Linked DNA regions of Macaca mulatta. The protein of the gene in region 1 purifies or fractionates together with the protein of each later gene. This does not show direct contact. Links are inferred from orthologs where the notes say so. Each region holds a gene or a part of one and is shown on either strand. Other genes may lie near its edges.

Evidence for each region. The genes of interacting proteins can lie anywhere in the genome.
Region 2: the proteins of UBE2R2 (region 1) and FBXW11 purify together in Homo sapiens (affinity purification with mass spectrometry; 4 studies listed by BioGRID and IntAct, with this or other methods). This does not show direct contact. The link is inferred for Macaca mulatta from reciprocal best matches to the Homo sapiens genes UBE2R2 and FBXW11.

What each region holds. Positions count from the first base shown.
Region 1 is NC_133420.1:65,882,100-65,886,516, reverse strand, and holds the start of UBE2R2 (ubiquitin-conjugating enzyme E2 R2), read left to right. Parts: upstream 1-1,582; 5' UTR 1,583-2,193; coding exon 2,194-2,370; intron 2,371-4,417. UniProt on the Homo sapiens protein: E2 ubiquitin-conjugating enzyme that accepts ubiquitin from an E1 ubiquitin-activating protein, and catalyzes its covalent attachment to other proteins by an E3 ubiquitin-protein ligase complex.
Region 2 is NC_133411.1:180,718,403-180,722,048, reverse strand, and holds part of FBXW11 (F-box/WD repeat-containing protein 11), read left to right. Parts: coding exon 1-76; intron 77-2,068; coding exon 2,069-2,179; intron 2,180-3,388; coding exon 3,389-3,467; intron 3,468-3,646.

The sequences.
Region 1 (4,417 bases):
AGACCATCCTGGCTAACACGGTGAAACCCCGTCTCTACTAAAAAATACAAAAAAAAAAAAAAAACTAGCCGGGCGAGGTGGTGGGCGCCTGTAGTCCCAGCTACTCGGGAGGCTGAGGCAGGAGAATGGCGTAAACCCGGGAGGCGGAGCTTGCAGTGAGCTGAGATCCGGCCACTGCACTCCAGCCTGGGAGACAGAGCGAGACTCCGTCTCAAAAAAAAAAAAAAAAAAAAAGTTTTTTCTTTCAAGTTCCTATGAATCATTTACCATGTGCCAGTCACTACGCTAAATGCTGTACATACGTTTAATCATTATAATTGCTTGTGTTGGGTATAATTAATCCCCTTTTACAGAAGCTGATGAAACAGCCGGGTGTGGTGGCAAGCACCTGTAGTCCTAGCTATTTGGGAGGCTGAGGTGGAAGAATCGCTTGAACCTGGGAGGAGGAGGTTGCAGTGGGCCGTGATCGCGCCACTGTGCGACGACCTGGGTGATAGAGCAAGACCCTGTCTCAAACAAAACAAAACAAAAAAACAAAAAACTGATGAGACAGGGAGAAGTAATGTGTGGAACTAGGGTTGGAACCAAGATCTGTCCGATTCCGAAATTGTGTGTGTAGAACTCTCACGGTATTCTGGCTTTTCTAGGAAATGTTTTTTAGGCAGTTATCCTAGGACACGCCTTCCTAAGAGAAAGGAGTACTGTATTCTGAACCACGGGGACCAAAGACTGTCCCCACATCTCATTTCGGTTATGATTATCTCGAAAGTCCCTCAGTTCCAGGGTGGACATTCAAGCCAAAAGGACCTATAAGGGGTCAAAGTTCAAGCACAATTTTACAAATGGGGAGGGCGAAGGGTAGCCCCAAATCACAATGAGAAGGGCAGGAGACCCACTTTGTTATTGTCTCTTTTTCCTCACAACTTCCTCTTTGTAGTTAAGAAGGGAAGCAGAAGCTGACCTTTCTGTCTTACCCCGTTTCTCACGTGGAACTGCCGCACCCAGGGTGGGTAACGTGCCCAAGGGCATATTTGCCTGTGGGCTGGCCTGCGGGAAGGTCTGTTGCCACCGAAAAGACCCACATTCTCAGCACATCCTAATCAAGTAGCTACTAAGTGGAGGGACCGCAGACTGGGTGTCACAGGGAGGGGCCTGCAGCGACCAGGCCCGTCCCAGGATGGCTGCCGAGGCCCCTGGATCCACAGTGGGGAGGGCCCCGAGAACCGGGGGACCTGGGTTCCCTTCCGGGGCACGCCTTTGGAACTGCGGCGTCCAGCCGCACAACCGTCACTATGGGGCCACGGCAATCCCTGCGCCCATCCTCGGTCCCCGCTGCCTCTGGGCTCTTTATAGGCGGGGGACACGCGCCGGCGTCACAAAGCGCCGCGACCGCGCGGGAGGCCAAGAGGCGTGGAAGCGGGAGGAGGAGGAGGAGGAGGAGGTGGTAGTGTAGGAGAGCCAGGCACGGTGGGGGGAGGGGAGGGAGGGGCGCGCGCACGCGCGTCGGGTCGCCAGCCGCTGAGAGCCGCCCAGCTCCCGGCGTGCGCCCCTCCTCCCTCTCTCCCTCCCTCCCTCCCTCCCTGCTTCTCGGCTCCGTAGCTCCCGCGGCGCGAGGCGCTCTCGCTCTCCTCCTCCTCCTCCTCCTCCGCCGTCGCCCCTCCCCCCGCGCAGCCGCCGCCGCCACCGCCGCGAGACCCCCGCACGCCGCTCTCCCCCCACCCCCTCCAGCCCCGCGCGCCCTCCGGTCCCTACGGCCCCCGAAGAGAACGAGAGGGCGAGCGAGCGCGGCGTTCCCGGGCCGGCCCGGCCCCCTCCCTTCACCATCGCCGGCCCTCCGCCGCCTTCCTCCGCTTCCACCACCTCTCCCCCCCCCCCAAAGTTGAGGCCCCCCTCCTGGGGGGGGGAGGACCGGGACCGGGACCCGGAGCGAATTCCCCTAACTCCCTCGACCTCTCCTCTCGCCTGGCCCGAGTGTGAGGAGAAGGGCCCGGCCCGGCCCGCGTCGTGTGTGAGGAGGACCGCGGGCGGGCCCACGGGCCGTGTGGGGCCTGGTCCGGCCCGCCGGGTGTGTGAAGACCGGGGCCCGGTGCGGCCCGGCCCGAGGGCAAGCGGAGGGGAGGGGCCTGGTCCGGCCCGGCCGGTGCGTGAGGACTGGGGCCCGGGCCCGGCGCCGCCGCCGCCGCCGCCGCCGCGATGGCCCAGCAGCAGATGACCAGCTCGCAGAAGGCCCTGATGCTCGAGCTGAAATCCCTGCAGGAGGAACCGGTGGAGGGCTTCCGGATCACCCTGGTGGACGAGTCCGACCTCTACAACTGGGAGGTGGCCATCTTCGGGCCCCCTAACACCCTCTACGAAGGCGGCTACTTCAAGGTACCCTCACCCCCGCTCCCGGACCCTGCCTCCGCGGCCGAGGCCTCCGGCTCCCCGCCGCTTTCTGCCGTTCCTGGGACCAGGAGTATGAGCACGGGCCAGTGGAGGGGGCTCCTCACCCCGGCAGCCCCCTCCCCCATCCGTGGAGGCAGGAAGGCCTTGCTCGCCGAGTGCCTTTTCTTTGTCATGGGGGCGGGGGCGCGGGCGAGGGCGGGAGGGCAGGCTGCACCGGGAAATCGGAGAGTCTCTCTCTGGTTAGGGTAGTGGCTACAGGCGCAGGAGGCCGTCTTTGTTTCCCCAGCTGAGGGCGGGTGGAAAGAGCGGTGGTCTGTCTGTGCTTTCTCGTCCTCCCGTCGGAACCCCTCCCTGCGCAGGCTGGAACTGCCCCAGAGGGCAGGGTGACCTGCACCGACTGGATTGGACTTTTCTTTTTTGGGGGGTGGGGGTGAGGGTGGGGGAGGGGCACCAGCTTGTCATTTAAGAAGCTGCCGAGTGCCCTGACATTTTGAGGATTTGTTGGACTTCTTGGGTAGTAGTAGTGCCAACTTTGCATTCCAATGGGTGGTGGTGAAGAATGGGACCCTAGGGGTGGTTAAAAAAAAGGGGTGCCCGCGTCGTCTTGTCATTATCCTTTTGGGGGAACTTTAACCCTCTTTCCGTTCACATTCTCTGCTTACCTCAGTCACTGGTTCTTTCAAAATGCCCTTTGTCCTCACCGTGCCACCAAGTTTGCCAGCCTTTTTTTCTACAGGTAGAAATATCCACAGAGGGTGGAACGAGTCATGTAGGGAGATTGATAGCTTCCCACTCTCAGAGACAAAATTGAAACCTTCTCAAGTGGTTAACTCTAGCTAAAGGGGTGGTCTCACAGGTGACAAGTACCTGAGGCGAGATCGCTTCTCTGGGTGGGATATATGTTTGCTTAGCGACCACAGACATTGTTTCTATTGTTTCATATGGTTTTAGAACAGTGGTTATTCTAGAATCTAATGGGTTTTTTTTTTTTTTTTTTTTAACTCCAAGGTAGTTAACCTGGAGATAATGAGTGTTTGTTTTGTTTTGTTTTTACTTGAGTGTTTTTGCAGGGAGGAATCACAGATTGAAAGTTTGAATGTTTTAAATGATGCGGGCAGAGACAGAGGAAATGAGTGCTTAGGAATCCATTTAGTTTTATTTTTTTATTTCCAAAATTAAGTAAAATAGGCCAGTGAGTCAATTTTAGTTTGGAAGGGAGGGGTTATCTTGGCACAAGTTTTAAATGAGTATCTTAGTCATGTAGTTGTGATGTGTATTTTTAGGACTACCCAATTACTTAACTCTTGTTTTCTACCCTTCTAAAGGTGGAAACCTCAGTTTTATGCTTGAAATTAGGTCAACTTTATAGGAGATGGGATTTATACAGGAATGTTTAATATTCGCTACTGTGATAGTCACTGAATACTTAGAAAAAGCACGTTTTTAGAATATTATGTAAGTGCGGTACCCCTACCGACTGTTAGGCTTCATCTTTTGTGGTCAGCCTACCCTATACTTTTCAGATGGAGGTATTTAAAATTTCTAAGAAAACATGCAAGTTATTAGTAACAAAGTGGAAAGGTATTGCTGTGTTTATGTTAAGCATATTCTCTGTTGTCAGATATAAATTTTTATGCATACTGGAAAAATGAGTTGTACAAAATTGAATCTATGTGATGCCTTTCTTTTTTTTTTTTTTTTTTTTGAGACTGAGTCTTGCTCTGTCACCCTGGCTGGAGTGCAGTGGTGTGATCTTGTCTCAGTGCAACCACTGCCTCCCAGGTTCAAGCGATTCTCCTGTCTCAGCCTCCCAAGCAGCTGGGACTACAGGTGCACACCACCACGCCCAGCTAATTTTTGTATTTTAGTAGAGATGGGGTTTCACCATATTGGCCAGGCTGGTCTTGAACTCCTGACCCTGTGATCAGCCCACCTTGGCCTCCCAAAGTGCTGGGATTACAGGCGTGAGCCACCGGCCCGGCCATGATGCCTTTTCTGACAAAGCATTGTTTAGCAAAATCTGCTGGCTAAT
Region 2 (3,646 bases), on another chromosome or scaffold:
GGCACAAGCGAGGCATTGCCTGTCTCCAGTACAGGGATCGGCTGGTTGTTAGTGGATCATCAGATAATACCATTAGGTGGGTAGAAGTTGGTGTGCTGACAGAGCAGGCTGATTCTTGCCACGTTGTTGACTCATCTCCTAGTTCTAATGCTCAAAACAACTCAGAGTAAATGGGATGTTTCAGATAAGAAAGCTTTAGGTAACTTTTAGAAATGTATTTGGCTCTGTATACTCAAGTGGGAAAACCGTGTATGCCCTGGGTGGTCTTCCAGTGTTCCCCCAGTACATAAAGTTTTTTAACCTCAACTCCACCCAGGATCACTTAATATCAGAGCACTTCAGAACAGACTAGGGTGCTGCAGCCCAACTCGCTCTGACTTCCCTCACCTGTAAGCTCCCAGCTCCCTACCTAATACATGGGAGTGTACTTTATTTTTCTCTCCCAAGACTGCATTATGGAATCATCCATTCCTGCCGGGATCGTTTACCTCCATTTTTCCTTCCCAGCCCTCAGCCTCCTTGCTTTCTAATAAATCTAACTAACCTTAGACATTTTGTATCTTGTTAAGAACATGCCTTCAATATCTACTTAATTATCCCGTGCCATTTCCCCACTGTCTTAACACACTCTAGTGGCTTTACATAAGTGACTAAACTTAACTTTGGTTTATAATCAAATTGACTAATGTTTGGTCAAAATAAAGATAGGGTTCAAGATTATTAAAAAAAAATACACATACTAGTAGCTTTACATAAGCTTTACTAAACTTTGGTGTTTATAACCAAATTGCCTAATGTTCGTTCAAAATAAAGATTGGGTTTAAGATTATTACAAAGTTTTTTTTTAAAGGCAAGCAAATAACAAAAAAGCTATAACGGCTCTTTAAGTTTGCTTTATCATTTTAGGCTTTAAGATACCATAAAGTTAGTTTAGAGCTTAAATCTTGATTCTCTTATATTCGTCACGCTTTGTGGTATTGCTTAATGTTTCATCAGTAAACAGTTCTTAACCTCCTCACTGGAATTGTTGAGGTTTTACAAGATAGTAATGTGTATTACTCTGCAGCTTATAGAAGAGAACCACTTTGGAGTCATAGAGGCAGTACTGAATGACTTTGATCACAGATTAGAGATGCTGTCATCACGGGTACTAAGATTTGCTAAGGGCAGCTGTAATAAAATGATCTTTGGATGTATCATAGGAATTACTGGTAGAGAGGCTAAGAAAAAGTTATGATAGAATTAATTTGCTCACTTTATTTTGTACATGCTAACTAGCTATGATTTTTTTTTCTGCAAATACGGTAGAAAATCAGTCATAATAGGAAAAAAGATCTCTAACTCCAGAATGGAGTTATATGCAGAGAAAAAGATTTGGTGTAGTCAATGGGTTTATATTTCCGCCAGAACACTGCGTGTACCTAATCAGTCTCCCACTCTGACCTTGTACATCAATTCCAGTATTCAGCATATAGTATCAAGGAAGGGGTATCCACAGGCCTCATCAAGAGAGAGCTGCTGGTCCACCAGTTCTAACCTCAGTGGTCCTCATGGACTCCACTGTGCTAGAATTACCTTGGGCGGAAGCTTTACCCGATGGCTGTATGTGATATCTCCCTTCCCACCTTGTCTCATCTGTGCTTTTTCTCCTTTACTGCCTACAATCCCTGTCTCCCCAGAAAAGTCTTTCCTACACCATTTGTCTACATGGTTTTTATCAACTCAGACATCAAGAGAATGCCTAAGAACTAAATAGAATTGACGTTTCTTGTTTGTTGATTTTATTTAAATAGTAATACAGACACATGATTAAAAACAGTTTCAAATCATATAAAAGGAAATAGAATAAAAAGTAAGGCTTCCTCCTAGGTTAGTGCTTGGAAACACACAGATGGTATAAATGTATACATATAGCTTTATATGTGTGGTGTGTACTGGAAGTGAGATAGAAATAAAGAGTTCCAAGATAGTGAAAAATTATATCTGTATGGAACAGATATAAAAAACTTACAGATAGTGTGAATCATGTGTGGGAAATTGTTTCACAGAGGTCTGTTTTTCATTCAAGGCTCTGGGATATTGAATGTGGTGCCTGTTTAAGAGTCCTAGAGGGACATGAAGAATTGGTCCGATGCATCCGGTTTGATAACAAGAGGATTGTCAGTGGGGCCTATGATGGGTATGTCTTTCAGATTTTCAGATGTACTGCTATAACTATATCAACAAGAAAAAGAAATGTTGTATATTAAGCAACTCTGTATGTACCAGGTCCTATGGTAGGTTTCTGTGTAGTGGTGGATGGCAGGTATTATTATACCAGTTGTTTAGGTGAGGACACTCAGGCCCAGAAAGAACTAAATCTTGCCCCAAATGACAGAGGCAGAGTCACTGTGGTTCCTAAACTTATGCTTTGAGTCATTGTTGTAAACTCCAGCAATAGCTGAGGTTGTGAGTGTACTCACTTCTTTGCTTTACCCCTAAATTAAGCCAGGCGCTCTCTCTCTGTCTCTCTGTCTCTGTGTGTGTGTATGTGTGTTCTTTTTCTCTCTGTGTGTGTGTATGTGTGTTCTTTTTCTCTCTGTGTGTGTGTGTATGTGTGTTCTTTTTCTCTCTGTGTGTGTGTATGTGTGTTCTTTTTCTCTCTGTGTGTGTGTATGTGTGTTCTTTTTCTCTCTGTGTGTGTGTGTATGTGTGTTCTTTTTCTCTCTGTGTGTGTGTATGTGTGTTCTTTTTCTCTCTGTGTGTGTGTATGTGTGTTCTTTTTCTCTCTGTGTGTGTGTATGTGTGTTCTTTTTCTCTGTGTGTGTGTGTGTTCATGTGTTCAATAATAAGTTTCTTCTTTTCCCCTTTTGGTAAATTGAACAAACCCTCTTTAAAACACCTCACTATATTTTAAATGGGCAAATGGCAACTGTAAATCTTTCCAGATGACCTTATATATACTTCCCAAATGGGTTGGTTGGTCTGTCTGTACTCCTATTACTAACTTCCAGCATTTGCTTAATTTGGAGAAAGGTATCCTTGGAATTTCACACAGAGCCCTAGCTTCTGTCAGCAGCACCTCCTCAGCCCTAGAGAGTCCCCTGATGAATGAACTTGGTGACACAGGTTATCAGGTCCGGAACTGAATTTAGATAACCTGAAGTTGTTTTCTTATCTCCCTTAAAATAATATTTCTTTAAAATTTCAGCAATTCTGAGAATGTGTTGGTTCTTAATTTTTCTGAAGTCAAGTGTAATTGGTTCAGATGATTTGTAAAAACATAAGCATGTTCCCCATTAGCTTTTATAAATAGGCAGTTCAGATGCACTACTTTTTGTCAAGGAAATGTTTGACAGCATATAAATTGTTCATTTTTCCACTAATCACATCTCATTTCCCTTTCTAGGAAAATTAAAGTTTGGGACTTGCAAGCTGCTCTTGACCCTCGAGCCCCAGCGAGCACATTGTGTTTGCGCACATTGGTGGTACGTGACCTCTTAAGACAGGAATTGGTTCCCTGTGCTGGAGGATGACCATTTGCAGATAGCCCTGTCTAGGTGTATCACAGGAGCGCTTGTGTATCTCACAAGATGCCTTCAGAGAATTTCACTGTTCATTTTGTTTAGCCAAAATCAGAGAATATTTGATGCTTACATTACTGTGA